Anolis sagrei: one gene and its partners. The protein of the gene in region 2 binds, or shares a complex with, the protein of the main gene of each other region. Links are inferred from orthologs where the notes say so. Each region holds a gene or a part of one and is shown on either strand. Other genes may lie near its edges.

The links.
Region 1: the proteins of small ubiquitin-related modifier 3 (region 2) and SENP2 are in contact, whole or in part, in a crystal structure (PDB 2IO1), measured with the Homo sapiens proteins. The link is inferred for Anolis sagrei from reciprocal best matches to the Homo sapiens genes SUMO3 and SENP2. Residues at the interface, in NP_008867.2 of Homo sapiens: Arg55, Arg58, Arg60, Phe61, Asp62, Gly63, Pro65, Asn67, Asp70, Leu75, Asp81, Asp84, Phe86, Gln87, Gln88, Gln89, Thr90, Gly91, Gly92, Val93, Pro94, Glu95; in NP_067640.2 of Homo sapiens: Gln385, Asp386, Phe393, Lys394, Leu395, Arg396, Trp410, Leu411, Asn412, Asp413, Glu414, Ser439, Thr440, Phe441, Pro444, Lys445, Arg456, Trp457, Lys459, His474, Lys476, Val477, His478, Trp479, Met497, Gln499, Gln542, Asn544, Gly545, Ser546.
Region 3: the proteins of small ubiquitin-related modifier 3 (region 2) and SENP1 are in contact, whole or in part, in a crystal structure (PDB 6NNQ), measured with the Homo sapiens proteins. The link is inferred for Anolis sagrei from reciprocal best matches to the Homo sapiens genes SUMO3 and SENP1. Residues at the interface, in NP_008867.2 of Homo sapiens: Gln24, Ser53, Arg55, Gln56, Arg58, Arg60, Asp62, Gly63, Pro65, Asn67, Thr69, Asp70, Gln74, Glu76, Asp84, Phe86, Gln87, Gln88, Gln89, Thr90, Gly91, Gly92; in NP_001254523.1 of Homo sapiens: Gln440, Asp441, Glu446, Arg449, Leu450, Thr451, Lys455, Trp465, Leu466, Asn467, Asp468, Glu469, Asn494, Thr495, Phe496, Lys500, Arg511, Trp512, Lys514, Lys515, His529, Gly531, Val532, His533, Trp534, Gln597, Gly600, Ser601, Asp602, Cys603.
Region 4: the proteins of small ubiquitin-related modifier 3 (region 2) and USPL1 are in contact, whole or in part, in a crystal structure (PDB 7ZJU), measured with the Homo sapiens proteins. The link is inferred for Anolis sagrei from reciprocal best matches to the Homo sapiens genes SUMO3 and USPL1. Residues at the interface, in NP_008867.2 of Homo sapiens: Gln24, Asp25, Gly26, Ser27, Val28, Arg58, Arg60, Gly63, Gln64, Pro65, Ile66, Asn67, Asp70, Leu75, Phe86, Gln87, Gln89, Thr90, Gly91; in NP_005791.3 of Homo sapiens: Ala234, Cys236, Trp237, Pro321, Gln322, Leu323, Arg324, Met330, Glu331, Ser332, Val334, Phe335, Leu339, Tyr368, Thr378, Thr380, His393, Phe394, Gly395, Pro396, Asn398, Arg407, His421, Val423, Tyr451, Asn454, Asn455, His456, Phe457, His493.

Annotation. Positions count from the first base shown.
Region 1 is NC_090023.1:222,744,848-222,752,828, reverse strand, and holds the start of SENP2 (sentrin-specific protease 2), read right to left. Parts: upstream 3,006-7,981; 5' UTR 2,972-3,005; coding exon 2,877-2,971; intron 786-2,876; coding exon 730-785; intron 235-729; coding exon 125-234; intron 1-124. Other genes in the region: TMEM41A (transmembrane protein 41A), read left to right, coding at 4,566-4,666. UniProt on the Homo sapiens protein: Protease that catalyzes two essential functions in the SUMO pathway.
Region 2 is NC_090023.1:223,327,750-223,335,229, reverse strand, and holds the start of small ubiquitin-related modifier 3, read right to left. Parts: upstream 3,015-7,480; 5' UTR 2,851-3,014; coding exon 2,830-2,850; intron 1-2,829. UniProt on the Homo sapiens protein: Ubiquitin-like protein which can be covalently attached to target lysines either as a monomer or as a lysine-linked polymer. Does not seem to be involved in protein degradation and may function as an antagonist of ubiquitin in the degradation process.
Region 3 is NC_090022.1:186,967,594-186,974,684, forward strand, and holds the start of SENP1 (sentrin-specific protease 1), read right to left. Parts: upstream 3,001-7,091; 5' UTR 2,754-3,000; intron 1-2,753. UniProt on the Homo sapiens protein: Protease that catalyzes two essential functions in the SUMO pathway.
Region 4 is NC_090023.1:32,671,905-32,679,016, reverse strand, and holds the start of USPL1 (SUMO-specific isopeptidase USPL1), read right to left. Parts: upstream 3,010-7,112; 5' UTR 2,884-3,009; intron 1-2,883. UniProt on the Homo sapiens protein: SUMO-specific isopeptidase involved in protein desumoylation. Specifically binds SUMO proteins with a higher affinity for SUMO2 and SUMO3 which it cleaves more efficiently. Also able to process full-length SUMO proteins to their mature forms.

The DNA of each region.
Region 1 (7,981 bases), about 580 kb from region 2:
ATTACAATAGGAATTACTAACTGTAAGATACTCAGTTCCATCCTACTCTCTGCCAAAACAATAGTTCTATGCATTTAATTTGGCTTCAATAAGAAGATCCTATCATCTCAAAAAGCAAACAAACCTCATCTTTGGCTTCTGCATGCTGTTCTTCTGTCTGAAGATATTTGGATGCCAACTGGGACGGGAGTGTAATTAAATTGGCAATTCCCCTTGCCAACATACCAAAAATACCTGGAAAGAGTTAATAACATTAAATGACACATCATTTATCTAGGAAATTTGGTACGGAAGTCAAAGGAAAACTCACATCCTAAATCTCATACAGTACAATACAGTATCACTGTCACAAGGGAAAACTCCCACAGGAAGTCCTTCTTTGGGTTATGATTTTTTCTGACATTCATGTAATTTTGACTATGTTAGAGGATTGAGTCAATGGATTACACAAATGGATTCCAAGAACATTTAGGGCAGTACAATGTTCTTTACTATCTCTATGTCACAAACATATAGCAAATTACTGTCAATAGTTCTCAAACATGTATTTTTACAATGTTCTCCTCTTCTTAATCCGGGCCTTATTCAAACAACATCAATTCACTATATAAACATAATTACAGGCTACTACTAGTAATTGTTATGATCTATTTCAAGCATTTGCTCTTTCTGCTCTTTTCTTTCAAGGTTTACAATCATATGAAAAGTGATTGAACAGGGGTAATTTACCAAGTTTTTGCCTTTTTATTTGCTCATGTTCAAAGTCTTCTGGATTAGACTGAATGCTGTGAAGAGAAAAAGACAAATTAATTTGAGAAACAAGGAATCTTTCTTTCTCAGCTTGAAGTACCAATCTCCAAAAACACCATGCTCTCAGGCATAACAGGCACCATTTTACAGCTACCGAACAGTCACTGTACATATCTACAAACTTGATGGTCACATCTGCTAACCCGGAGGTTTTCCTTATAACAATACTCAATACCAATGTATGGGTTACCCAACTGACCTGCAGCATATAAGAAAGGTGGAATTTGTTAATTGTAACCATTAAGACGATGCATGCCTGCAGCAGTTATTCTTGACTTCATTACATCAAAAAACAGTATTTTCGTATTACTTGATTAATCTACTTTCTTGATATGAACAAAAAAAATTCCAATCTACCACATATATTGCAAGATTGCTGCATAGTTACATGTCCATATGGTCTCAAACAATAACAATACTGGGACACAGCTTCATTACATATACTGTATAGGAAATGATATATATTATGAGAACCAACACAAACCAAATATTTCTCCATTCACAGATATATATTATATAGCTTTGGATAGCATAGGGAAGTGTTAACACTCCTATAGTGTTTGTTTTGCTGTCTGTGGACTTTCCGTCCTGGCGATAATTGAAAAAATTTGGGGGGGGGGGAGGGGGGAGAAAGCTTGTTGTGGAAACAAGGATTGGTGAGAAAGCTTCAGTAGAGACACCTTTCCCCCATGATAACTCTTTCAGGAGTGAATTTCCCTTCCTGGGGTAGATTTCTCTCCTCTCCTATTGTCTCATCCTCACTCTTACTATGTCATTTATTGTCATAGTTATACTCTTAACTATGAGTCGTTTATAAGTTGCATGTTTGTAACTTGAGATCTGACTGTAGAATACATGCAAACTAATCGCTGTGCAGGACACGGTTATGGATTTCCCTTCTTAATTTTTTCATAGCTCACTGCTACCTGGAGACCCCAAATGGGTTGGGAACCACTATCTACTGGCTATTAGAAAGTGTGGGAATTGAAGTCCAAAACACTGGGAGGGCTGAAGTTTGACCATGCCTGATCTATACTGTTGGACGAATGCAGTTTGTCACCACTTTAACTGCATGGTTTAATGCAGAGGTCCTCAAACTAAGGCCCAGGGGGCGGATACGGCCCTCCATGGTCATTTACTTGGCCCTTACTCAGGGTCAATATAAGTCTGAAATGACTTGAAAGCACACACAACAACAACAATCCTATCTCATCAAACAAAAGTAGGCCCACACTTCCCATTAAAATACTAATAAGTTTATATTTTTAGAATTGTTTTTCATTTTAATTATTGTATTAAGTGGGTTTTGCACCTAGTGCAGTGTGCATAGGAATTCATTCATGTTTTTTTCAAATTATAATCCGGCCCTCCAACAGTTTGAGGGACTGTGACCTGGCCCTCTGTTTAAAAAGTGAGGACCCCTGGTTTAATGTTACAGAATCATGGAAGATGTGGTAGTTTTACAAGGTCTTTAGGCTTTTCTGCCAAAGAGTATTGGCGCCTCACCAAACTACAACTCCCATGTTTTTGTATTATTGAGTGAAGTCAAAGTGCCTTATTTCCACAGTGTAGTTCAGGTATGGGCAAATTTGGGCTCTCCAGGTGTTTTGGACTTCAACTCCCACCATTCCTCAGAGCCTCAGGCCCTTTCCTTTTCCCCCTCAGCCGCTTAAGCGGCTGAGGGGGAAAAGCAAGGGGCCTGAGGCTGTGAGGAATGGTGGGAGTTGAAGTCCAAAACACCTGGAGGGCCCAGGTTTGCCCATACCTGGTGTAGTTAGTGCACCAAACTGCCAGGTGTAGTTGGTGAGGTCAAACTGTCCGAGGGCCCTTCCACACAAACACATAACCCAGAATATCAAGGCAGACCATCCACAATATCTGCTTTGAAGTGGGCTATCTGAGTCCACACTGCCATATACCCCACTTCAAAGCAGATACTATGGGGTTCTATGCAGCTGTGTGGAAGGGGCCTGAGAGAGGGAGGCCTTCGGGGAAGGCTCTTCTTTGGCCGGGCAACTCCCCTCCGAAACCCCTTGGAAGGCCCGCTCCGCCCAAAGAGGAGGTACCGTCTCTTCCTCGGCCGAGCAGGCGGCGCCTCCCGGCGGCAAGTGGGCCTTGGGGAGAACCACCAGCGCAGAGCCTCGGGCAGCCATTGCTGCATAGGCCTCAGCCGCAGCGACCGGGCCGGAAGCACGTCATTGGCCAGCGACGGGGCGCTGAGGAAGTGACGTAGCCACGCTTTCAATAAGGAGAGAAAAGCACACCTGTGAAAGGGAAATACTTTAGTTTCCTTAACTCAAATCCCTCACACGCCTCAAATACGTTCCAATTCTGTATGTGGCATTCAGGTAAAGGTTTCCCTCTTGACATTAAGTCCAGTTTTGTCCGAATTCTGGGGAGTGGTGCTTATCTCTATTTCTAAGCCGAAGAGCCGGTGTTGTCCGTAGACACCTCCAAGGTCATGTGGCCGGCATGACTGCCTGGCGCGCCGTAGCGGTACCTATTGATCTACTCACTCTTTAAAAAAACCTCTAAAATTACAACAGCAAAACAACAGAGGGGAAATAATCAGGCGCATCTAATCACCTCGCAACAAAAGATTGCCCCAGGAACTGCCAGGCCATCAAATGCTAATCAAGGTGGTCAGTTGAAACATTCACACCTAGCTCCAGCAGACAAGAGTCCTTTGTCTCACCCTGGTCATTCCACAGATATATAAACCCATTTTTCCTAGTTCCACTAGACCTAATAGAGGGGAAACAATCAGACACATCTAATCACCTCTCAACAAAAGATTTCCCCAGGCACTGCCAGGCCATCAAATGCTAATCAAGGTGGTCAATTGAAACATTCACACCTAGCTCCAGCAGACAAGAGTCCTTTGCCCCACCCTGGTCATTCCACAGTTATATAAACCCAATTTTCCTAGTTCCAATAGACCTCACTACCTCTGAGGATGCTTGCCATAGATGCAGGCGAAACGTCAGGAGAGAATGCTTCTAGAACATGGCCATACAACAACCCAGATCTGTTCACATTTGCATGTTTCACTCTAAACAAACTCTAAAATTACAACAGCAAAACAACAGAGGGGAAACAATCAGGTACATCTAATCACCTCTCAACAAAAGATTGCCCCAGGCACTGCCAGGCCATCAAATGCTAATCAAGGTGGTCAGCTGAAACATTCACACCTAGCTCCAACAGACAAGAGTTCTTTGCCCTACCCTGTTCATTCCACAGATATATAAACGCATTTTTCCTAGTTCCAATAGACCTCACTACCTCTGAGGATGCTTGCCATAGATGCAGGCGAAACGTCAGGAGAGAATGCCTCTAGAACATGGCCATACAACAACCCAGATCTGTTCATATTTGCATGTTTTCGAACTGCTAGATTGACAGAAGCTGGGGCTGACAGCGGGAGCTCATTCCGCTCCCCAGATTCGAACCTAAGACCTTTCAGTTAGCAAGTTCATCAGCTCAGTGGTTTAACCCACTGCGCCACCGTTCAACCTTATGTTTGTTTTTGGTTTTTTGGACTTCATTTCCCAGAAGCCAGTGCGACAGAATTCAGGGATTGGTGTTTCATCCTGGAAATCCTGGGTCTCTGGCCCTTTAAGACTCACGAGAGGGGCGGGGCGCGGCTTGGAGCGCCAGGAGTGCCCGCCCTTTTCTGCTCCGCTGGCTCCTCTGCCCGCTGCTTTCAGTTCCGCCTCTCGTGCCTCCCCAGGACTCATCGCTGGTGCTCCGCCATGAAGCCGCTGGTCGGGTTCCTCCTAGTCCTGGGAGCCGCCACCGCCGGCCTTTCCCTGTTGTCGTCGCGGCTCCCCGGAGAGCCCCGCGCGGGGAGCAGGTGAGTCGCTGCTGCTGTCGCCTCCTCCTTCGGCTCTCTCAGCCTGGAGAACTGAGTGCAGCTTTGACACCATCCCACCTCAAAGGCGTGAAGCCATGGGAGATGTTGTACTTTGACAGGGTTTGTAGCCATCTCTGCCAAAGAGTGCTGCAAGGAACTGCAACTCCCACAATCCCACAGCCTTGAGCAAGGGCTGGGAAAGTGGTGTCGAACTGCATCAGTTCTACAGTGTGACCTCTTGGCATAATGATATTCCAGGCACTGGAGAACAGGCATGGGTGAACTTGGGCCCTCCAGGGGTTTTGGACTTCAATTCCCACCATTCCTCGCAGCCTCAGGCCCCTTCCTTCTCCCCCTCAGCCGCTTAAGTGGCTGAGGGGGAAAAGGAAGGGGCCTGAGGCTGCGAGGAATGGTGGGAATTGAAGTCCAAAACACCTGGAGGGCCCAAGTTTGCCCATGCCTGCTATATAATCTATGTAGTTTGACACCACTTTACCAATGCTGTGGATCCTGGGAGTTGTAGTTTGCCAAGGCACCAGCATTCTTTGGCAGAGAAGGCTGAAAACCTTGTGAAATCACAACTCCCATGATTCTATTGCATTGAGCCATGGCAGTTAAAGTGGTGTCAAACTGTATTCATTCTACAGCGTGGATGCACCCAAGGTTAATGTCTCAGCATCAACGCCCATAGGCACAGTTGGCTATTCCTTTATCCGATTTGTCGTTGATCTGCTCCATTGGGTTTCACGCACATCTACAGTCGACTATAGACTTTGTTAAACTCCATCTCCTGGAATTCAGTAGCATTGAGTCATGGCACTTAAAAGTGCTATCAAACTGTGTTGCTTCTCCCATGTAGATGCACCCCTTGCATCACAATTCAGTTCAGATCGTCGTGTCCTGAATTCAGAAGGTCATGATTTATGATTGATGTTTTATTGACCTTATTATGATTGTATATAATATGTTAATGTTCTAAATGTTTCTAAATGTTTTCTGATGTTTGGGCATTGTATTATGCCTCTGTAAACTGAGTCGCCCGTGGGCTGAGAAAAGTGGTATACAACTATAGTCGATAAATACAACTATACAACTATAGTCGATAAATAAATAAACTTCATTAAACTCCCAGGAATCCATAGCATTGAGCCGTGGCAGTTAAAGTGGTGTCAAACTTCATTCATTCTACAGTGTGGATGCACCCAAGGTTAATGTCGCAGCCTCAACGGCATAGACGCAGTTGGCTATTCCTTTATCTGATTTGTCGTCAATCTGTTTGTTTGGGTTTCACACAAATATATAGTCAGCTATAGACGTTGCTAAACTCCATCTCCCATTATTCTATTGAGCCATGGCAGTTAAAGTGGTGTCAAACTGCATTCATTCTACAGTGTGGATGCACCCAATGTTCCTTTGGGTTTCATGCAGATATATAGTTGGCTATAGACTTCATTAAAGTCCATCTCCCAGGAATCCCTAACATTCAGCTATGGCAGTTAAAATGGTGTCAAACTGCATTCATTCTTGGATGCCCCCAAGGTTAATGTCTCGGCACCAACACTCATAGGCACAGTGGACTATTCCTTTATCCGATTTGTCGTCGATCTGTTCCATTGGGTTTCACGCAAATCTACAGTCGGCTATAGACTTGGTTAAACTCCAGCTCCCAGAATTCAGTAGCATTGATCCATGGCACTTAAAAGTGCTATCAAACTGTGTTGCTTCTCCCATGTAGATGCATCCCTTGCATTACAATTCAGTTCAGATCCTTGTGTCCTGAATTCTGAAGGTCCCGCGACTGTGGGAGTCAGCCTAAAAATACACCGCTGCCGAAATCTGATGCTGCCCTGAGTGCGGAAATGTGCTGTTGCATGCGGAGTCAAACTGAGTTTTGGCATCAGGAGTTGTTATGAAATGCAATCATGAAAGGATCCTGAATTAAGTGGCCTCAGGAGCCCAGTGACTCGCTCTGCCAGTTAAATAAACATCAGCACTATTTGTTCCAATATGACCCCGACAGCAGGTGGAGTGACATGTCATTCCAAGCTTAAATATTTCAGTCTAAAATGTTTCAGCATGTTTGATTTATTCTGTAAGATTTTTTTTTCATGTCAGGAGCAGCTTGAGAAACTGCAAGTGATTTCTGGTGTGAGAGAATTAGCTATATGCAAGGATGTTGCCCAGGGGACGCCTGGATGTTTTGATGTTTTACCATCCTTGTGGGCGGTTTCTCTCATGTCCCCGCATGGGAGCTGGAGCTGACAGAGGGAGCTCATCCACGCTCTCCCTGGATTCGAACCTCCGACTTGTCGGTCTTCAGTCCTGCCAGCACAAGGGTTTAACCCACTGTGCCACCGGGGGCTCATTGTGTAAGATACAACTCAAGTATGGTTCTAAGTGCTTTATTGGGGTGCATCTAAACCAGGCATGAGCAAACTTGGCCCTCCAGGTGTTTTGGACTTCAATTCCCACATTGGGAATTGTGGGAGTTGAAATCTAAAACATCTGGATGGCCCAAGTTTGCCCATGCCTGATCTATACTGTAAAATTAATGGTTTGATGCCACTTTTACTGCCAATCTATGGAACCCTGGGAACTATAGTTTGGTGAGGCACCAGCACTCTTTGGCAGAGAAGCCTAAGACTTTGTAAAATTATAACTCCTAGAATTCCAAAGCATTGATCCATGGTAGTAAAAGTACTGTCAAATTGCATTGATTTTACAGTGTAGAAGCATCATTAGACTTAATGGAAGACTGGTTGAATGATTCTCAAGGCTGACCTTTCAGTTTTAGAGAGCTGTCATCTCACTATGGAATATATCACTGATGTTTTTCCCCATTTCTTTTTGACTTTAGGTTATATGTCTAGGAGGCATTTGAATAGCCATTCTTTTAAATTTTAAGGATTTGTAAAACCACCGGCTTGTCTTTTCGCACAAAATCAAAGTTAAGCTGTATCCCATCACTCCCCACAGGTACTTGAATCAACTGCAATTCATTCCCGTAATTCCTGACCCAGAAAGTACCTTGTAGTAATCAAGGCTGTATTTTTTAAATTTAAATAACCATGTCTTTCAAGCAAAAACTTTTGAAAGATAAAAGTGTATCAATTATTGATGATTTCAAACGTCCATGGGGAACTAATAACAGGTGGAATTGATAGATTTCACACATAGCTAGCTGATCATTACAAGATGAAAAATACAGCCTAGGCAATAGTTCCTGTAGAATAAAATCTAACCTTAACCTATTTTTGATTAATTTCACCTTTCTTGCTTTGCTAATTTGCTTCTTAATTTTCTGTCTAACTTGGG
Region 2 (7,480 bases):
TGCGCTCACTGATGCCAATGGACTTTCTGCCATAAATAGAAATAGCCAATTTCCAACTGGAGAAGATAAGTGTTAATCTCTTCCTTACATGCTATAATATCCCTCCCCTTTCCACTGCACAATGATTAAACTAGGGAAGGCGAATCTATGGAAGCTAGGGTTGCCTGAGTGAAAAGTAGAAGGGGCTCATATATCTTTAAGTTTTGTGCAGCAGAGGAATCTAACGCCCAGAGTAAAGCGCTGGATGCACAAGCACGTGGGCGGCAGGGATCTAAATCCGAAGGAAACCAGTAGGGAAGACAACATGAATCCCAGAGCGGCTCCCCTACTTCCAACGGAAACGAAAGAGGGAGGGAAAAGGAAAGGGAAGTCTAGGCTGATGCGAAGCCGCGTGGTGGTCGCACGCCATCGCCATCCCTTGACAATAAGAGCTCCGGGGAGGGAAGCAGTCCCTTCTTCTCATCTTTTATTGCTTCCTCGGTTCACTCAGCAAGAGGCAAGGCATTACAACTTCAAGGTGGAAAATGGGGGCCCTTCTACACAGCCGTATAAACCAGAGTATCAAGGCAGAAAATCCCACAATATCGGCTTTGAACTGGGTTATCTGAGTTTACACTGCCATATATTCCAGTTCAAAGAAGAAAATGTGGGATCTCCTGCCTTGATATTCTGGGTTATATGGCTGTGTGGAAGGGCCAAGAGTATCCTTTATCCCAGGCATGGGCAAACTTCGACCCTCTCGGTGTTTTGGACTTCAACTCCCACAATTCCTACCGGCTGTAAGGAATTGTGGGAGTTGCAGTCCAAAACACTGGGAGGGCCCATGTCTGCCTTATCCCAAATGCTGGGGACAAGAAGAGTTTTGGATTTGGGAATATCTGATGATATATACACATAATGAACCGTCTTTGAGCTGGGGCCCATAGTCCAGAACAAGAAATTAATGGACGCTTAAGGTCCATTTTACACACAAACCTTAAATAATATGCTGCATGAACACGACTGGCTGCAGTGAACCATCAAGATGCACAGGTATCACTCTTTCATTCAAAACACATAGACAATTTTGGAGCCAGCTAATTACCTCCCAACAAAGGATTCCCCCAGGCAGGAAGCAGCTAGGCTTTGAAGCTGCAAGGCCATTCAGTGGTAATCAAGGTGGTTCAATTGCAACATTCACACCTGCCTCCAGCAGACAAGAGTTCTTTCTCCCACCTTGGGCCATTCCACAGGTATATAAATCCCACTAGCCTAGTTTCCAACAGACCTCACAACCTCTGAGGATGCCCACCATAGATGTGGGCGAAACGTCAGGAGAGGATGCTTCTGGAACATGGCCATACAGCCCGGAAAACGCACAGGGCCCTTCCACACAGCTATATAACCCAGAATATCAAGGCAGAATAACCCACAAGATCTGCTTTGAACTGGGTTATCTGAGTCCACACTGCCCTATATCCCAGAGCCCTTCCACACAGCCCTATATCCCAGAATATCTAGGAAGAAAATCCCATTAATATCTGCTTTGAATTGGGTTATCATACTCAGATAATGTGGGATTTTCTGCCTTGTTATTCTGGAATACAGGCCTGTGTGGAAGAAAATCCCATAATATCTGCTTTGAACTGGGTTTATCTGACTCCACACTCAGATAATGTGGGATTTTCTGCCTTGATATTCTGGGATATAAGGCTGTGTGGAAGAAAATCCCATAATATCTGCTTCGAACTGGGTTTATCTGAGTCCACACTCAGATAACATGGGATTTTCTGCCTTGATATTCTGGGATATAGGTCTGTGTGGAAGAAAATCCCATAATATCTGCTTTGAATTGGGTTATCCGAGCCCACACTCAGATAATGTGGGATTTTCTGCCTTGATATTCTGGGATATAGGGCTGTGTGGAAGGGCCCCCAGTTCAAACCAGAAAATGTGGAATTTGATTCAGCTGTGTGGAACGGGCCAAAGAAATCCAATTTTGGGGCATTTTGGTGTCCCAGATCAAGTATAACATGACTATTTAGTAATGCTAGTACTGAAGAAAGAGGTTTCTCTGTGTAGGTAATTTCCAAACCGGTTTGTAGGCCTGGATGGTGATTCCACAAAGCAAGGATGCGCAGGGAGGGCTTTTCTTTCGCGCGCTTTTGTGGGAGTCGAGCTGCAGTTTGGAGGCTTAAGAGACAGTTTAAAAGGCTTGGGAGTAGAAGGATATTTGCATATATGCATTATGAGATACCTTGGGAGATGGGGCTTGAGAATGAATATAAAATGCATTGATGCAAAAAAAGGAATTTCATTCACAATATTGTGAAGCAGGCCTGGACCAACTTGGGCCTGCTTTCCAGGTGTTTTGGACTCCAACTCCCACCATTCCTAACAGCCTCAGGCCCTTTCCTTTTGCCCCTCAGCCGCTTAAGCGGGCCTGAGGCTGTTAGGAATGGTGGGAGTTGGAGTCCAAAACACCTGGAGGAAGGCCCAAGTTGGCCCAGGCCTGTAATAAACTATCAGAAACATCAGGGCGAAAATGAATGCAGTTTGGCGCCACTTTGGAAGGCTCAATAGGAGTTGTATCACCACAAGGCCTCCCATGCCCAAGAGGAACTACAAATCCCATAACGCGTGGGTGATGCCAAAGATGCGAGAGAGGCAAGCCCTGAGGCCTAACAGCACTCCACCCCCGCCTCGCCGTTCTTCTTCCGGGTCGAGGAAAGGCCTGGCTTCTCCCTCACTGAGAGAAAGGAAGGCCGCACTTTTCCCCTCAGAAGAAGGCGGCGGTGAGGATGATGGAGGCCAATCCTTGCCTCCTTCCCTCCCGCTGATTTAACTCACCTTTGGCTTCTCCTCGGACATGGCGACGCTTCGCTGAGGGAAAGAAGCACCTCCGAAGCCCGTCTCCCTCTCTCTCTCAATCTCCCCTTCTCTCTCTCTCTCTTCAATCCCGCCCGCAGCAACTGCCCGCCAGCACGCGCTTGGCGCCCCACAATCCCCGCTTCCTGATTGGCTCCCGGCGGGGCCACGTGGGGGGCCGCGCTCGCCCCCGAGGCGCGCTCCCGAGCGGGGTTCTTTTCCTCGGGAGCGCGCCCGGCTGTGTGCGTCATCGCCGGCTGAATGCGGCGGAAGGGAGGGAGGGAAGGAAGGATGGGTGGGTGGGAGAGGCATGCTTTCCAGCGCGGGAGGAAGAAGAAGGGGAGGAGCCTCTCTTGTGTGGGTGTGGGTGTGTGCTTAAATCAGTAAATACGTTACAAAACATCACTTCTTTGTGACTTCTTCCTTCAGAAAAATAGTCTTCACTGAAGGAAATAAATGTTATATTGGCCAATGCAGCCAATATAACGAACAATAACAAACAATAAACAATAATAAACAATGCAGCCAATATAACAAACATTAACCAACAAACAAAAATATAACAATAAATAACAATAAACAATGCAGCCAATATAACAATATAACAAACAATATAACAATAAACAATAATTAACAATCAATATAACAAACAACAATATAATAAACAATATAACAATAATAAACATTGCAGCCAATATAACAACAATAAACAATATAACAAACAATAATAAACAATGCAGCCGATATAACAAACAATAAACAATATAACAAATGATATAACAATAAACAATAATAAGCAATGCAGCCAATATAACAATAAACAATAATAATGCAGCCACTATAACAATATAACAATAAACAAAAATAAACAATGCAGCCAATATAACAAACAAACAATAAACAATAATAAACAATGCTGCCAATATAACAATATTACAAACAATGTAACAATAAACAATAAACATTGCAGCCAATATAACAATATAACAAACAATAAACAATATAACAATAAACAATAAACAATGCTGCCAATATAACAATATTACGAACAATGTAACAATAAACAATAAACATTGCAGTCAATATAACAATATAACAAACAATAAACAACATAACAAACAATATAAAAATAAACAATAATTAACAATACAGCCGATATAACAAACAATATAACAATAAACAATAATAAACATTGTAGCCAATATAACAACAACAAACAATAAACAATATAACAACAAACAATAATAAACAATGCAGCCGATATAACAAACAATAAATAATATAACAATAAACAATAATAAACAATGCAGTCAATATAACAATATTACAAACAATATAACAATATAACAAACAATATAACAATAAACAATGCAGCCGATAAAACAAACAATATAACAATAAACAATAACAATGAAGCCAAAATAACAATATTACAAACAATATAACAATAAACAATATAGCGAACAATATAACAATCAACAGTAATAAACAATGCAGCCAATACAACAATATAACAAACAATATAACAATAAACAAACAATATAAAAACATCCCTGCTTGTATTTCCTACTTTCCTATACACCTGATATGTTCCCCCTCTTTTAAGTGTATTTCAGAAAAACCTCAATAAATATGAATAATAAAAAAGCAGGCCTATGCAGTGCTAAATGTAAGTCATCCATATTAGGCCTGGGCAAATGTTGGCCCTCCAGGTGTTTTGGACTCTAACTCCCACAATTCTAACAGTGCAAAAGCTGAGAGCCAAAGAAGGACCAGAGAGCTCAAGAACATCTGGTGAACAAAGAAGGCTGAAGAAATCCAACACTTTGCAGATACCCATGATGCTCAGGGATTTTTAAAGCCACAAAAGTCATCGAGAGACCAAGAATTCTTGGCATATACCCTCTATGCCCATGAGATGGAGCCAAGCTTTTGAAGGACAAAAAAAAAAAAATCAATGGCACTACATTGGAAAGAGAACTACCAAAGCCTCCTGAATCACAGCTCCAATGTGGCCAAAGAGATTTTCTTATAAATCATGCAACAACAAACCAGGGATGAGCTTGCAGCACTGCCTAGTTTGGAAGAAATCAGTAATGCCATCAGCCAACAAAAGAATAACAAAGCCAGCGGACCTGATGGGATCCCTGCTGAAATATTTAAAGAGGGTGGACCTGAGCTAATAATAATAATATTAATAATATTTTGCCATACCAAACAATCAAACTTGTACCACAAACACCATCTGCCTGCAACAAAGAACTGGTGGCATCACAAGCCTGAAAAAGTTACAGAAAATGAATACGTCAAACTACTCTGGGACTTCAGAATTCAGACTGACAGAGTTTTGGAGTACAATACGCCTGACCTTACGATCGTGTTAAAAAACAAAGTATGGATTGTTGATGTGGCAATCCCAGGCGACAGCAGGAAAAGCTGACACAATATGAGGATTTAAAGATCGAACTGCAAAGATTCTGGCACAAGCCAGTAAAGGTAGTCCCAGTGGTGATTGGCACACTGGGTGCAGTGCCTAAAGACCTTGGCCTGCACTTTAACACAATAGGCGCTGACAAAATTACCATCTGCCAGCTGCAAAAGGCCGCCTTACTGGGATCTGCACGCATTATTCGCCGATACATCACACAGTCCTAGACACTTGGAAATGTCCGACGTGTGATCCAATACAACAGCCAGCAGAGTGATCTTGTTTATTGTGGACTCATCTTGTTGTGTTTCAAATAATAATAATAATAACTACTTTATTTTTATACCGCGCCTCCATCTCCCTGAAGGAACTCTGGGTGGCTTACATGAGGACAAGCCCGAACTTAATATGGTTAAAATATAACACAACAACATTCATAAAGACAATTTAAAACAATATAAAAACAACCACGCATAATACAATATAATACAATATAAGACAATAATCAAGCAAACCACCAATGGTCTGAGTAGTGCAAAGTTCTGAGGTTGGGGAGGTGGGATGGTGCAAATCATTTACAAGGATGGGATGATGATGCTTTGGAAGAAACTGCTTTAGAAGGCTTCAGCACCCCCATTGATTTGGAAGATGCTGTGGATGAATATAATGGATAATGGGTAAAGTCCTGAAACCAGATGACAACGTTAGGAAATGGGGAGCAATGTAAAGAGAGCACGATATCTCTAGTTGGGGAACAGTGGCAATGTGCAAGAATTGGTTTTGGATCATAGCTGGGGACAAAAGTATCAGGGGAACTGTCTAGTCAAAAGCACAATGGAACATCCACATTTTTAGTTCTTTGCAGAAAGTGGACAGATTGGGTGCTAGTCTAATCTCCCTGGGGAGAGAGTTCCAGAACCAGGGGGCCACTACAGAAAAGGCCCTCTCTCTTGTCCCCACCAACTGCACTTATGACAGGGATAGGAGTAGAGGAGAGCTTCCCCAAAAGTTCTTAGAGATTGTGCAGGTTCGTAGGGTACAATGCGGTCACGAAGATAGGCAGGTCCCAAACTGTTTACGGCTTTATAGGTGAGCTGACACAACAACTACACCAGCTCATTGAAAAAGTGTGAGAGTCTGAGAAAATCCCAGCAGACGTCAAGGATGCCACCATCACCCCCCTTTTCAAAAAAGGGGAAAGAACAGACTACGGAAACTATCAAGGTATCTCACTTCTAACCTCTGCTGAGAAAATCCTCGCAAGAATCCTTGCAAACCACCTTCTACCTGTCTCAGAAGACACTCTCCCAGAATACCAGAATGACTTCCACCCCGGCAGAGGAACAGTGGACATGATCTTCACTGCACGACAGCTCCAAGAAAAATACAGGGAACAAATCATCCTCTCTACATGGCATTCATTGACCTCGCAATGGCATTCAACACAGTGAATAGCAGTGCTCTCTGGACCATCCTCCAAAAAATCAGGTGCCCTGACAAATTTGTGAACATCCTGCAGCTCCTCCACAATGATATGATGGCAACACTCTTGGCTGGCAATGGCTCCCAAAGTGACCCATTTAAGGAGGAATCAGGTGTCAAACAGGGATGTGTTATTGCCCCAACCTTATTTTCCATCTTCATCGCTATAATACTGCACCTTGTAAGGAGAACAAAATTATCCCCCTGGGGGATTTTAACACAAGAATTGGTTGAGGCTTTGACTTGTGGCCAGGGACCATAGGAAAATATGGGGTTGGAAACAGCAACTTGAATGGCATACTGCTTCTCACCAAATTTGCGGAACACAACCTTGTCATCACCAACATGCTCTTCTGCCAGAAAAACAAGCTCAAGACATCATGGAAGCACCCCCGATCAAATCATTGACACCTTTTAGACTATGTAATTACATGTGCCAGGGACCACCGCAATGTGCTTCTCACAAGAGCTATGACAGGTGCTGATGACTGCTGGACAGACCACAAGTTAATCCGATCCACGATGGGGGTTCTGTGTGCCAACAGTGGTTCAATCCCATTGTTGGTGGAGTTCAGAATGCTCTTTGATTGTTGGTGAATTATAAATCCCAGTAGCTCCAACTCCCAAATGTCAAGGTCTATTTCCCTCAAAATCCACCAGTTTTCACATTTGGGCATATTGAGTATTCATGCCAAGTTTGGTCCAGATACATCATTGCTTGAG
Region 3 (7,091 bases), on a different chromosome or scaffold from region 2:
TAATTGCTTTTATGTATGTATGTATTTTTGACATAGGCATCAAATTGTGCCTTCCTTTGTAAGCTGCCCTGAGTCCCCCCTTGGGGGTGAGAATGGTGGGGTAGAAGTAACGGAAATAAATAAATACAATAATAGTAAAATAGCAGATTTTGGGCTTTTTCACAACTAAATATTAGAATAGTTTTCAAGTCAATTCTAATTTCATTCTAAAAACCACAGTCTCTGTATATCCATGTTCACCATGTGTTGGAAGTATGTAGGGGAAACCTGAGTGTGCTATAGAATGACAAGGCATATGACTTTCCCCTCAAGATAGACACAAGTCATGTTTTGTCTGTCATAAAATCGACTAAATGGGAGCAGCAGGTGTTATTGAGAAGGATGGGTATAATCACAGTGTGTGAAAGCAACCAGTGAAACAGGAGAGAGAGGGAACTATTAAGTGGAAGTGGAAATTCCTGTTAGAAAGTTGAAGAGATGCCAGGAGGAAGTCACACAGCCCATTAGCATCAGAGCAAATAGCAATAAAAGACAAGTCTGCTAGAACAGTATTAGAAAAGATATAAGATTATTTCCTTTATTCATTATTTCCTTAATGCAATATTTTTTCCGAATGAAGCAGAGTGTTTGAGGACCGGGACATCCATAGGGATACCAAGGTGCTTGTTTATAAAGCTATTGTTCTCCCAACCCTGCTATATGCCTGCGAGACGTTGACTGTTTACAGACGTCACATGCAACTCCTGGAACAATTCCATCAGCGCTGCCTCTGGAAAATCCTGCAAATCTCTTGGGAAGACAAGTGGACAAACATCAGCGTGCTGGAAGAAGCAAAGACCACCAGCATTGAAGCGATGGTCCTCCGCCATCAACTCCGCTGGACCGGATGCCCGACCACCGTCTCCCAAAGCAGTTGCTCTACTCTGAACTCAAGAATGGAAAACAGAATGTTGGCGGGCAGGAAAAGAGATTTAAAGATGGGCTCAAAGCCAACCTTAAAAACTGGCATAGACACTGAGAACTGGGAAGCCCTGGCCCTTGAGCGCTCCAGTTGGTGGTCAGCTGTGACCAGCAGTGCTGCAGAATTTGAAGAGGCACGAATAGAGGGTGAAAGAGAGAAACGTGCCAAGAGGAAGGCGCGTCAAGCCAACCCCGACCAAGACCGCCTTCCACATGGAAACCATTGCGAGAGAAGATGCAGATCAAGAATAGGGCTCCACAGTCACCTACGGACCCACCGCCAGGACACTGATCCTGGAAGACTATCCTACTCGGCCAACAAGGGATCGCCTAAGTAATTAATGCAATATAATAACATATAATGACAATATTGTGATGTTGTTGTTCATTCGTTGTTCAGTCGTCTCCGACTCTTCGTGACCTCATGGACCAGCCCACTCCAGAGCTCCCTGTCGGCCGTCACCACCCCCAGCTCCTTCAAGGTCAGTCCAGTCACTTCAAGGATGCCATCCATCCATCTTGCCCTTGGTTGGCCCCTCTTCCTTTTGCCTTCCACTTTCCCCAGCATCATTGTCTTCTCTAGGCTTTGCTGTCTTCTCATGATGTGGCCAAAGTACTTCAACTTTGTCTCTAGTATCCTTCCCTCCAGTGAGCAGCCGGGCTTTATTTCCTGGAGGATGGACTGGTTGGATCTTCTCGCAGTCCAAGGCACTCTCAGCACTTTCCTCCAACACCACAGTTCAAAAGCATCTATCTTCCTTCGCTCGGCCTTCCCTAAGGTCCAGCTCTCACATCCGTAGGTTACTACAGGGAATACCATGGCTTTGACTAGTAATACTAAAATATTACATATATAATTACTACTGATAATATATAAAGATATCTTGTTTTATTATTTTATATTTATATATTTGACATAAAATTTTGGATTGTGTGCTGCTTTGCGTCTCCATATGGAGAGAGAAAGAGGGCTAATATGATTAAATAAAATGCTTGAACTAAACTTTTTCTCAGTGAGGTCTCAAAAGTGCCACGCAAGCTCACTTTCCCAGTAAGAAAGGCTTTTTGTGTTCTTACAATATACCCAAAGTATGACACCCTCCACTGAGTCAGCTTTTGGTTCCACACTTTTCTTGTCAGCCAGACTTTCCTCATGAGGCACTCTTAGAATCATAGATTCAAAGAGTTGGAAGAGACCTCATGGGCTATCCAGTCCAACCCCCTGCCAAGAAGCAGGAAAATTGCATTCAAAGCACCCCTGACAGATGGCCATCCAGCCTCTGTTTAAAACCTTCCAAAGGAGCCTTCACCACACTCCGGGGCAGAGAGTTCCACTGCTGAACGGCTCTCACAGTCAGGAAGTTCTTCCTCGTGTTCAGATGGAATCTCCTCTCTTGTAGTTTGAAGCCATTGTTCCGCGTCCTAGTCTCCAGGGAAGCAGAAAACAAGCTTGCTCCCTCCTCCCTGTGGCTTCCTCTCACATATTTATACATGGCTATCATATCCCCTCTCAGCCTTCTCTTCTTCAGGCTAAACTTTCTTCTGAAGTTTTTACTCCTTCCAGGCAGACAACATTGGGAATGCCATATACACCGAAAAGACTCAAATCCTGTCAGACTTCACCCCTCAGGTGAACTTTTTCCCGCTCAGAGCTGGGTCACTCTGCCGCCATGCTGCCCTCGCAAAGACAAAGAGAGGGAAGAGAGGTGGGTGCAGCTCAGGTTAATGGAGGGACACATAAGGTAAAAGGGGAGGGGGAGCTGTTTCCATGACGACCCCTTCCAAAAACCTACCGGAAGAGTAGGCCGCGAACCAAACAGGAAAGGAACCACGTCAACTCGCGCTCTCTCTCTCTCTCTCTCTGCCGCCAAACTCCTTCCCCGGAGGCTTCAGGACTTGATTTAGACTTTCTCTGTCCTCTCTCTCACACACACACTCCTTTCTTTCTTTCTTTTCCGCTCACCGGATTCGAAGAGGCGGGAATGTCAGGGGAACCGGAAGTAACTTCCCGGCGCTCTCGGTGATTTTTATCCCGCCCCCTTTCTTAACGTCACTTCCGGGCAAGGAAAGAAGGTAGAACCGAGCCCCTGAGCAAGGGGCGGGGCCAACAGGATGCGAGGCACAACACGGAGGACAGAAGCGCATGCGCACTGGCGGAAGAGCGGTCGCGTGCGTTCTTTGTTTTGCCCTGCCGGCCACGTGCCTCAGACGGTGCTAGAGGTTGAGTGTCCCTGATCCAAAATGCCTGGGGGCCCAGGAACAGTGTGGATTGCGGCATCTTTGCTTGCGCCTACCTCCTGAGATAGCTTGGAGATCGGACCCAAGTCTAAACACGACATTCATTTATGTTTCATATGCATCTTATACACATGACCTAAAGGTAATTTTATACAGGATCTTTTGAATGATTTTGTGCATGGAACGGAGTCTGTATAATGTGTTGTCGAAGGCTTTCATGGCTGGAATCACTGGGTTGCTGGGAGTTTTCCGGCCTAGATGGCCATCTTCCAGTAGCATTCTCTCCTGACGTTTCGCCTGCATCTGTGGCAAGTATCCCCAGAGGTCTGTTGGAAATGAGACCAGTGGAGTGTATGTGTGCCTTTGGAGTGGAGTGTATGTGTGTCTTTGTCCTAACCTAGACATCTGGTTTACTAACATATATATTTGTTGTTCATTCGTTCAGTCGTCTCCGACTCTTCGTGACCTCATGGACCAGCCCACGCCAGAGCTCCCTGTCGGCCATCACCACCCCCAGCTCCTTCATGGTCAGTCCAGTATGGTCAGTCAAGTCAAGTCAGTCAAGTATGCCATCCATCCATCTTGCCCTTGGTCGGCCCCTCTTCCTTTTGCCTTCCACTTTCCCCAGCATCATTGTCTTCTCTAGGCTTTCCTGTCTCCTCATGATGTGGCCAAAGTACTTCAACTTTGTCTCTAGTATCTTTCCCTCCAGCGAGCAGTCAGGCTTTATTTCCTGGAGGATGGACTGGTTGGATCTTCTCGCAGTCCAAGGCACTCTCAGAACTTTCCTACAACACCACAGCTCAAAAGCATCGATCTTCCTTCGCTCAGCCTTTCCTAAGGTCAAGCTCTCACATCCGTAGGTGACTACAGGGAATACCATGGCTTTGACTAGGCGGATCTTTGTTGCCAGTCTGATGTCTCTACTCTTGACTATTTTATCGAGACTGGACATTGCTCTCCTCCCAAGAAGTAAGCGTCTTCTGATTTCCTGGCTACAGTCTGCATCTGCAGTAATCTTTGCACCTAGAAATACAAAGTCTGTCACGGCCTCCACGGTTTCTCCCTGTATTTTCCAGTTGTCAATCATTCTTGTTGCCATAATCTTGGTTTTTTTGACGTTTAGTTTATAAAGTTTACTTACATATATATATATATCTGGTTTACTTACCTATATTTACTTACATATATATATATGTAAGTAAACTTTATTACGGCCAATTATCTATCTATCTTCTATATATATATAAATGCTCTGTGCATAATAAGTACCTTAAAATCAAAAGAACCAATGAACGAAATCACACCAAATTTGGCAACAAAACATCTCACAACGCAAGGAGTAACCATCACTCAAAAAATTCGGATTTTGTCATTTGGGAGTTGTAGTTGCTGGGATTTATAGTTTGCCTACAATCAAAGAGCATTCTGAACTCCATCAACTATGGAATTGAACTAAACTCGGCACACAGAAATCCCATAACCAACAGAAAAAATTGGAAGGGTTTGGTGGGCATTGACCTTGAGTTTGGGAGTTGTAGTTCACTAACATCCAGAGAGCACAATGATGGATCTGGACCAAACTTGGCACAAGCACTCAATACGCCCAAATATGAACACAGATGGAGTTTGGGGGAAATAGACCTTGACATTTGGGAGTTGTAATCATTGGGATTCACAGTTCACCTACAATCAAAGAGCATTCTGAACCCTACGAATGACAGAATCAGGGCAAACTTCCCACACAGAACCCCCATGACCAACAGAAAATCCAGTCCAACTCCCTTCACCAGGGCAAGAAAACGTAATCAAAGTCCTCCTGACAAAGAGCCATCCAGCCATAGATATAGATAGATAGACAGATAGATATGATTCACACACATATAGTATCCTAGATTTGAAAGGGACCCTTAAAGAAGGACAATTATATGTTGCATGTTCCAGGGTGGGCAAACCAGACACTCTCCACATCAACACTGGCAAAGAAACAGCAAGACATACTGTTTACCCACAAGCATAAAGAAATTACATATATTAGAAACCAACACTTTCTCATTACTTTATTTTCCAGATGAACAGACTGGGCCACAGCAACGCGTGGCAGGGGACAGCTAGTTATTATTATTAAACCGTATTTGTACCCCACTAGCATCTCCTGAAGGACTTGATGCGGCTTACATAGGCCAAGGCCTCAACACAACAACAGCAAAACAATAACAGTACACTTCAAAGCAAATAAAAACATAAGCAATAACAAAACATTACACTATTACGCAATAAAAACCAGGGCCGGGCCGGTACAAGTTACAAAAAGTGCAGGGTGTGGCAAATAGCATGTTGGATTTCTGGGCAAGTGCAATGTGCAGAGAGTCTTAAACTTTGATAAAGTGCTTCTGGGACATAGTACTGGAGATTATCCTATGTGCCCTCCCCAAAGACATTAGACTAGCACCCACTTTGGCAGTCTTTAGGAAGAATTTGAAGACCTGGCCAACGAACGTGGGTGCTAGTCTAATGTCTTTGGGGAGGGTGTTCCAGAGTCCGATGACCAGATGTACGGGGTATATATATATGTAATAGGCCTGTTTGATCAAGAAAAAAATTGTTTCTAAAATCGATTCTTAATTGGGGTGTTTTTTTGTTTCGATATTTAAAATATTTACAAAACTTTCCAAAAAAATGTTTTGTTATTTACGAAATTTCGTAAATATTTACAAAACATTTTAGAAACAAATTTTTTCTTGATCAAACAGGCCTAAAAGATAGAGATGTAGGGCAAATAGACATATGTTTGTGTGCTGGGGAGGGACTGGGCTGGCATGGCTGCAAATCCTGTTTCTTGCCATGGGAAAGGCAAATTGCTTCTGCTGCAGTGGCCCATCCAAGGCCCAGAGAAGAGGCCTGCCTTCCTGGCTCTCTCCCTGCGAGGCCCGGCCAGCCTTGCTTCCCCTCCCATTTGCGCCAAGCCCTTCCCTGCTGGGGAGAGGGGCCCCTCCTCACCTTCTCCTTCTTCAGCTTGTAGGGCCTGTGGCCCCGCGCTCGGCCTTTCTCTCGTCTCTCGCCCGCTTCTCCTCCTCCTCCTCCTCGCCGATCGGATGGCGCGCGCGCTCCTGCGCCCTCTTCCTCCTCCTCCTCCTCCCGGCACTTCCTGCAACACAGCTGGGAGAAGGAGGAGGAGGAAGAGGGCGCAGGAGCGCGCGCGCCATCCGATCGGCTCCGGCTGCTGCGCCCTCCTCCTCCTCCTCCTCCCAGCTGTGTTGCAGGAAGTGCCGGGACTCGGGAGGAGGAGGAGGAGGAAGAGGGCGCAGCAGCCGGAGCCGATCGGATGGCGCGCGCGCTCCTGCGCCCTCTTCCTCCTCCTCCTTCTCCCAGCTGTGTTGCAGGAAGTGCCGGGAGGAGGAGGAGGAGGAAGAGGGCGCAGGAGCGCGCGCGCCATCCGATCGGCTCCGGCTGCTGCGCCCTCTTCCTCCTCCTCCTCCTCCCGAGTCCCGGCACTTCCTGCAACACAGCTGGGAGGAGGAGGAGGAGGAGGGCGCAGCAGCCGGGCACCAGCAGCACAGCAGCCTCCATCCCATTAACGAGCGGAGCTTCAGCTCGTAAAAAAAATGGGGCTGCTGTTTCGATATTTTTAAACCCTTCCGGGTTTGAAAATATGTTTTGAAATCGCGTCGGATATGCAAAAATAACGATTTTATAACAAAATAACGAATTAACGAACTAAAACTGACAGGCCTAATATGTAAGTAAACTTTATATATATATATATATGTCCAGGGTAGGGCAAAGAACCCTTGTGTGTTTGGAGCAACTGTAACAATTAGCCAGCTTGATTAGCAATTGAGTAGCTCTGCAGCTGCAAAACCTGGCTGTTGCTGCCTGGAGGCATCATAGAA
Region 4 (7,112 bases), about 190 Mb from region 2:
ATCTTTGAGATGTAAATCAGCGGCAATACTAATTAACCAAACTTCAATAATTTTGAATACAAGCATTTTTCTGTGACATGTTTATTAACTGAGGAATTCAAGCAAGAAAGTTTTGTAGAACACTGTTATGACAGTATTGTTCTATACAGACTGTACATGATTCTGACCCAATGAGTACTTTATGAAGTGTACAAACACCATGCACTTCAAAAAAGGGGAAACAAATTGTCATACAGTTCTAAATCATGGGCAAGGTATTTTGATTAAGGTTCATATTTGCTTTGTACACAGCTGGTGTATTGTTCTGCTCTGTTTAAAAATAACTTTTTTTGCTACTGCTTCTAGTCAATTGCTGATTTTTTTCTCCTACTCTCTATCTTAATAATTAACAAATATGGTAAATTGTTGATAGAATACTGTTTTTAAATAATAGTGTAAATCTGAACATTAAAACTGCATTTTATGAATTCTTACAATTTTACTAGATGAGGTCTTATGTGTGTTTGTTGTTTATAGAATGATGTGGTGTTTTCTAAACTTATGTATTGTTCATTTTATATGCAGTACTCACAGTACTTTTGTGAGCCATCCCGAGTCCCTTCAGGGAGATGGTGGTGAGGTAGAAATATATTATTATTATTAAAAAACATATTAATTTACAAATCCATAGAACAGTCTATATCTTGGACATATGTATAATTTGAGTAATTTACCCCAGAAAACTATTTATTATTAAATATTAATACATAATATATTAATTATCAATGTTGAGTTGCAAATGCTATAAAGTAGGAGAGATAAGTAAAATATTCTTTACACAACCTCAATAGTGCTTATGCTTAAATCCGATTGTTAGATTTTGATTCAGAAGCCTTTAATCAATGGTATTGGGAACAAAACTGGATTCAGATCAGACATGGGCAAATTTTGGCCCTCCGTGTGTTTTGTACTTCAACTCCCACAATTCCTAACAGCCTACTGGCTGTGAGAAGGATCCCTTGGTGGCACAATGGGTTAAATCCTTGTGCCAGAAGGACTGAAGAAAGCTTCCTTTGAAGTGCTACTGGTGTGAATCGCCAGCTCCTCTAAATGGGGACTCTGCCATCCTTTCTCAACCCATCCTCAAAGGTATTCCAATAGTGGTGAGCACTGATAATGTTTGTGGGGATTTAACAGTATTAAAGAAATACTAGAGGTCCTCCCTTTGGCTGGTAATGTGCACTATACTGCTTTGTTCAAATAGTCTTATAAGACTTATGTCAAACTATGATTAAACTGGCATTGTGTTTGAGGATGGCTGTGTTCATTCTAATTTGGGTGGGCCTAGATATTTGCTTCAAAGTCCAGGCTGCCACAAAGTTACCATAACCATTGCATTTCAAGAACATCATAATCATCTTGGTAAATCAAACTTAGATTCAATAGTCCATATTTCTAAGTGTAGCTAAACATATCTGTCCCTAGTTGTTCACAGTAAAGTTAGGGCACTTCTGCGCAGAACTTGGGAAAAAATAGTTTTGGAACTTATTGTATGTAGGAGGTTTGAATTCGGGGGAGAGCGCTGATGAGCTCCCTCTGTCAGCTCCAGCTCGCCATCCAGGGACATGAGAGAAGCCTCCCACAAGGATGGTAAAACATTTTTTTAAAAAACCATCTGGGTGTCCCCCTGGGCAACATCCTTGCAGATGGCCAATTCTCTCACACCAGAAGTGGCAAGACTGAAGACCAACAGGTTGGAGGTTTGAATTTGGGGGAGAGTGCGGATGAGCTCCCTCTGTCAACTCTAGCTCCCGATGCAGGGACATGAGAGAAGCCTCCCACAAGGATGGTAAAACATTTTTTAAAAACCATCTGGGCATCACCTGGGCAGCGTCCTTGCAGATGGCCAATTCTCTCACACCAGAAGCGGCAGGACTGAATACCAACAGGTCGGAGGTTTGAATTTGGAGGAGAATGCGGATGAGCTCCCTCTGTCAGCTCCAACTCCCCATGCAGGAACATGAGAGAACTTCAGCTCCCACAAGGATGGTAAAACATTTTTTTAAAAAACCATCTGGGTGTCCCCTGGGCAACATCCTTGCGGATGGCCAATTCTCTCACACCAGAAGCGGCAGGACTGAAGACCAACAGGTCGGAAGTTTGAATTCGGAGGAGAGTGTGGATGAGTTCCCTCTGTCAGCTCCAGCTTCCCATGCAGGGACATGAGAGAAGCCTCCCATAAGGATGGTAAAACATTTTTTAAAAACCATCTGGATGGTAAAACATTTTTTAAAAACCATCCGGGTGTCCCCTGGGCAACATCCTTGCAGATGGCCAATTCTCTCACACCAGAAGCGACTTGCAGTTTCTCAAGTCGCTCCTGACACGAAAAAAAAAAGGCTGAGGAATTGTGGGAGCTGAAGTCCAAAACACCTGGGGGGCCGAAGTTTGTCCGTGCCTGTTTTAGACCATAGCCTCTTAAACTAAACATTACATATTATAAAAATACTTTGCTTTTGCTACTGCAGCATTTCTGACTTTATATACATACCTATATTATGGGCATTGCCTATCTATGAGCATCTGAGTGCTCTGGATAAATATATGTTGGAAAATCCCCACCAGGGAACACAGGATAGCAAAACATAACAGGCCTGGGCCAACTTGGGCCCTCCAGGGGTTTTGGACTTCAACTTCCACAATTCCTAACAGCCTACCGGCTGTTAGGAATTGTGGGAGTTGAAGTCCAAAACCCCTGGAGGGCCGAAGTTGGCCCAGGCCTGGTGCAGAGACACTCCCATCCCAAACCTTTCGCCCACCTCTTCACCAAATGCCTCAATGCAGCCTCTCCCGCCTTCTCTCTGCTTAGAAGACTGCAGCCGAATGGCTTAGGCCTTTCCTCACCTGCAGAACCCCAGCAGAGCGCGCGGACAGAGGAAGTGGCTCCAGGTCCAGGTGCCTCCTCGTTTGGAACAAGCAGTAGCGTTGTACGCGCGTTCAAGGCAGCGGCTGTGCGCCACTTCCGGCAAGTCCCCCCGGAAACCGCTCCCCGCGCAGAAGCGTTCCGGGCTCTCATTTGCTTGTTCTCTTCCTGAGGCGAGGTTTTCTTTGCTATCATATTGCTGTTCTTGTCTCCCTCTTCTCTCTCTCTCTTATAGAATCATAGAATCAAAGAGTTGAAAGAGACCTCATGGGCCATCCAGTCCAACCCCCTGCCAAGAAGCAGGAATATTGCATTCTCTCTCTTGAAATCATTTAATAGTGAATTATGTGTACAGAAATATGGGTCAAAACAAAAGAGGAAGTAAAGCTAATTTGGTGGCAACAGTCTTGGACAGCAATGGCTTCCAAAGTGACCCATTTAAGGTGGAATCAGGTGTCAAACAGGGATGTGTTGTTGCCCCAATTTTATTCTCCGTCTTCGTTGCTATGGTACTTTATCTTGTTGATGGGAAGCTTCCCGCCGGAGTGGAAATCATCTATCGGACAGACGGCAAGCTATTTCACTTCAGCAAACTGAAAGCCAAAACCGAGGTTACAACAACATCTGTTATAGAACTCCAGTATGCTGATGACAATGTCGTCTGTGCACATTCAGAAGAAGACCACTCTAAACACCTTTGCAGAAGCATACGAGAAGCTCGGCTTGTCATTGAACATCGAGAAAACCAAAGTGCTCTTCCTCAGATGGCAAGCTATTTCACTTCAGCAGACTGGAAGCCAAAACCGAGGTTACAACAACATCTGTTACAGAACTCCAGTATACTGATGACAATGTTGTCTGTGCGCATTCAGAAGAAGACCTATACAAGCCACTCTAAACACCTTCGCAGAAGCATACGAGAAGCTCGGCCTGTCATTGAACATCGAGAAAACCAAAGTGCTCTTCCTCAGATGGCAAGCTATTTCACTTCAGCAGACTGGAAGCCAAAACCAAGGTTACAACAACATCTGTTATAGAACTCCAGTATGTTGATGACAACGTCGTCTACGCACAATCAGAAGAAGACCTATATAAGCCACACTAAACACCTTCGCAGAAGCATACGAGAAGCTCGGCCTGTCATTGAATATCGAGAAAACCAAAGTGCTCTTCCTCAGATGGCAAGCTATTTCACTTCAGCAGACTGGAAGCCAAAACCGAGGTTACAACAACATCTGTTATAGAACTCCAGTATGCTGATGACAACGTCATCTGTGCGCATTCAGAAGAAGACCTACAAACCACTCTAAACACCTTGGCAGAAGCATATGAGAAGCTCGGCCTGTCATTGAACATCGAGAAAACTAAAGTGCTCTTCTAGCAGTCACCAGCCAATCACTCTGCAATACGAGAAATACAGCTTAATCATGTAACATTAGGAAATGTTGACACTTTCCGCTACCTTGGCAGCCACCTCTCCGCAAAAGTCAACATTGACACTGAAATACAACATCGCCTGAGCTCTGCGAGTGCAGCATTTTTCTGAATGAAGCAGAGAGTGTTTGAGGACCGGGACATCTGTAGGGAGACCGAGGGGCTTGTTTATAAAGCTATTGTTTTCCCAACCCTGCTATAAGCCTACGAGACATGGGCAGTCTACAGACGTCACATGCAACTCCTGGAACGATTCCATCAGCGCTGCCTCCAAAACATCCTGCAAATCTCTTGGGAAGACAAATGGACAAACGTCAGTGTGCTGGAAGAAGCAAAGACCACCAGCATTGAAGCAATGGTCCTCCGCCATCAACTCCGCTGGACCGGCCACGTTGTCCGGATGCCCGACCACCATCTCCCAAAGCAGTTGCTCTACTCTGAACTCAAGAATGGAAAACGGAATGGAATATTGGTGGACAGGAAAAGAGATTTAAAGATGGGCTCAAAGCCAACCTTAAAAACTCTGGCATAGACACTGAGGAAGCCCTGAGCGCTCCAGCTGGAGGTCAGCTGTGACCAGCAGTACTGTAGAATTTGAAGAGGCATGAATGGAGGATGAAAGAGAAACGTTCCAAGAGGAAGGCGTGTCAAGCCAACCCTGACCGGGACCGCCTTTCACCTGGAAACCAATGCCCTCACTACGGTAGAACATGCAGATAAAGAATAGGGCTCCACAGTCACCTACGGACCCACGGGCAATACATCGATCTTGGAAGACAATCTTACTCAGACAACGAGGGATCGCCTAAGTAAATAAGTAAGTAAGCTATCATATTGCTGTTCTTGTCTCTCCTCCTTCTCTCTCTCTCTCTTGAAATAATTTTATTAGTGAATTATGTGTACAGAAATATGGGTTAAAAAAAGAGGGAGTTAGGTTAACTTGGTGGAGTAGGCATCAAGATGGGTGGGGTGTATCTAGAGATGTCCCCTTAAAGCAGTGTTACTCAACCTTCCTAATGCTGCGAGCCCTTAATACAGTTTCTCATGTTGTGGTGACCCCCAACCATAAAATTATTTTCATTGCTACTTCATCACTTTAATTTTGCTACTGTTATGAATCATAATCTAAATATCTGATATGCAGGATGTATTTTCATTCACTGGGCCAAATTTGACACAAATACCCGATACATCCAAATTTGAATACTGGTGGGGTTGGGGGTTGGGGGTTGATTTTGTCTTTTGGGAGTTGCAGTTGCTGGGATTTATAGTTCACCTACAATCAAAGAGCATTCTGAACTCTACCAATGATGGAATTGGACCAAACATGTCACACAGAACTCCCATGACCAACAGAAAACACTGGAAGGGTTTGGTGGGCATTGACCTTGAGTTTTGAAGTTGTAGTTCACCTACATCCAGAAAGCACTGTGTACTCAAATAATTATGGGTCTGGATCAAACTTGGCACAAATACTCAATATGCCCAAACATGAACACTGGTGAAGTTTGGGGAAAACAGAGTTGACATTTGGGAGATGTAGTTGCTGGGATTTATAGTTCACCTGCAATGAGAAGAGCATTCTGAACCCCACCAATGATAGAATTGGGCCAAATTTCCCACATGGAACCCCCATGACCAACAGAAAATACTATGTTTTCTTTATGCTCTTTGGCGACCCCTCTGACACCTCCTGGCAACCTCTCCAGGTGTCCCAACTCCCAGGTTGTGAAACACTGCCTCAAAGACTACAACTAGAGGGGGATCTACAGAGGGGCTATGGAGGATTTATAAAGGGGAAGTTGGGGTGATAACTTGGGAATGGGTGGGGGGGCGGTTGAAGAGTTTGACTTCCCATCTTCTCTAGTGTTTTCATCTTCCTTTGTTTCCCAATATTTTAACTTTGCTCTGCTTTCTCTCTTTCTTCTCTCTCCTTTGATGACATTGCTTGCTTGGTGAATCTTCTTACATATTCACTAGCAAAGTGATGTTTTCTTGAGTCATGTATTCTTTGATTAGTGACCAGTCTGTTATTTTTCTCTTTTTTTTTGCTTGGTTAATGCTCATTATCTGTGTTAAAATTTCTATTTTCATTATATCCATAATTTTCAAAATCCACTGCGCCTTTGTCGGTATTTCTTTTAATAGCGTGCATAGTTCATTCTAGCCGTTGTCACCAGGTAGTTGACGAGTCTTTCTTTATTTTCTTCCATTCCCATGTCTATCATTCCCAATAAGAAATGCTCTGCTTAAATTGTATACTTGTTTTTAATATCTTCTGAGTCTCTTCCTGAATGCCTTTCCAATACTGTTTAGCTGTTTTGCAGGTCCACCACATATGATAGAAGGAACTCACTTCTCCTCGCATTTCCAACATTTATCATTCGTTTTTGGATAACTTCTTGCCAATTTCTGAGGGGTGGTGTACCATCTGTATATAATTTTTAACCAGTTCTCCTTTAAACCATAGGGATATGTCCATTTTAATTTCTTATTTCACATATTTTCTCACACCTCTAACTTAAATGAATGTCCAATATTTGCCGCCCATTTGATCATGCATTCCTTTGTTTGTTTGGTTTCTGTGGATCATTCTAGTGGTTTTTTAAAAAATATTTTAGTTATTGATTTATTCTGTGTCATCAAAACTTTGTCCCAAAATACTTCTTTTTCTATGAATCCATTTTCTTACCTTTGATGTAATATTCTCTGATTTGTCTATATTGAAACTAGGAGATTTCTTTATCCAATTGGTTTATATCTTCTTGGGTTTTCA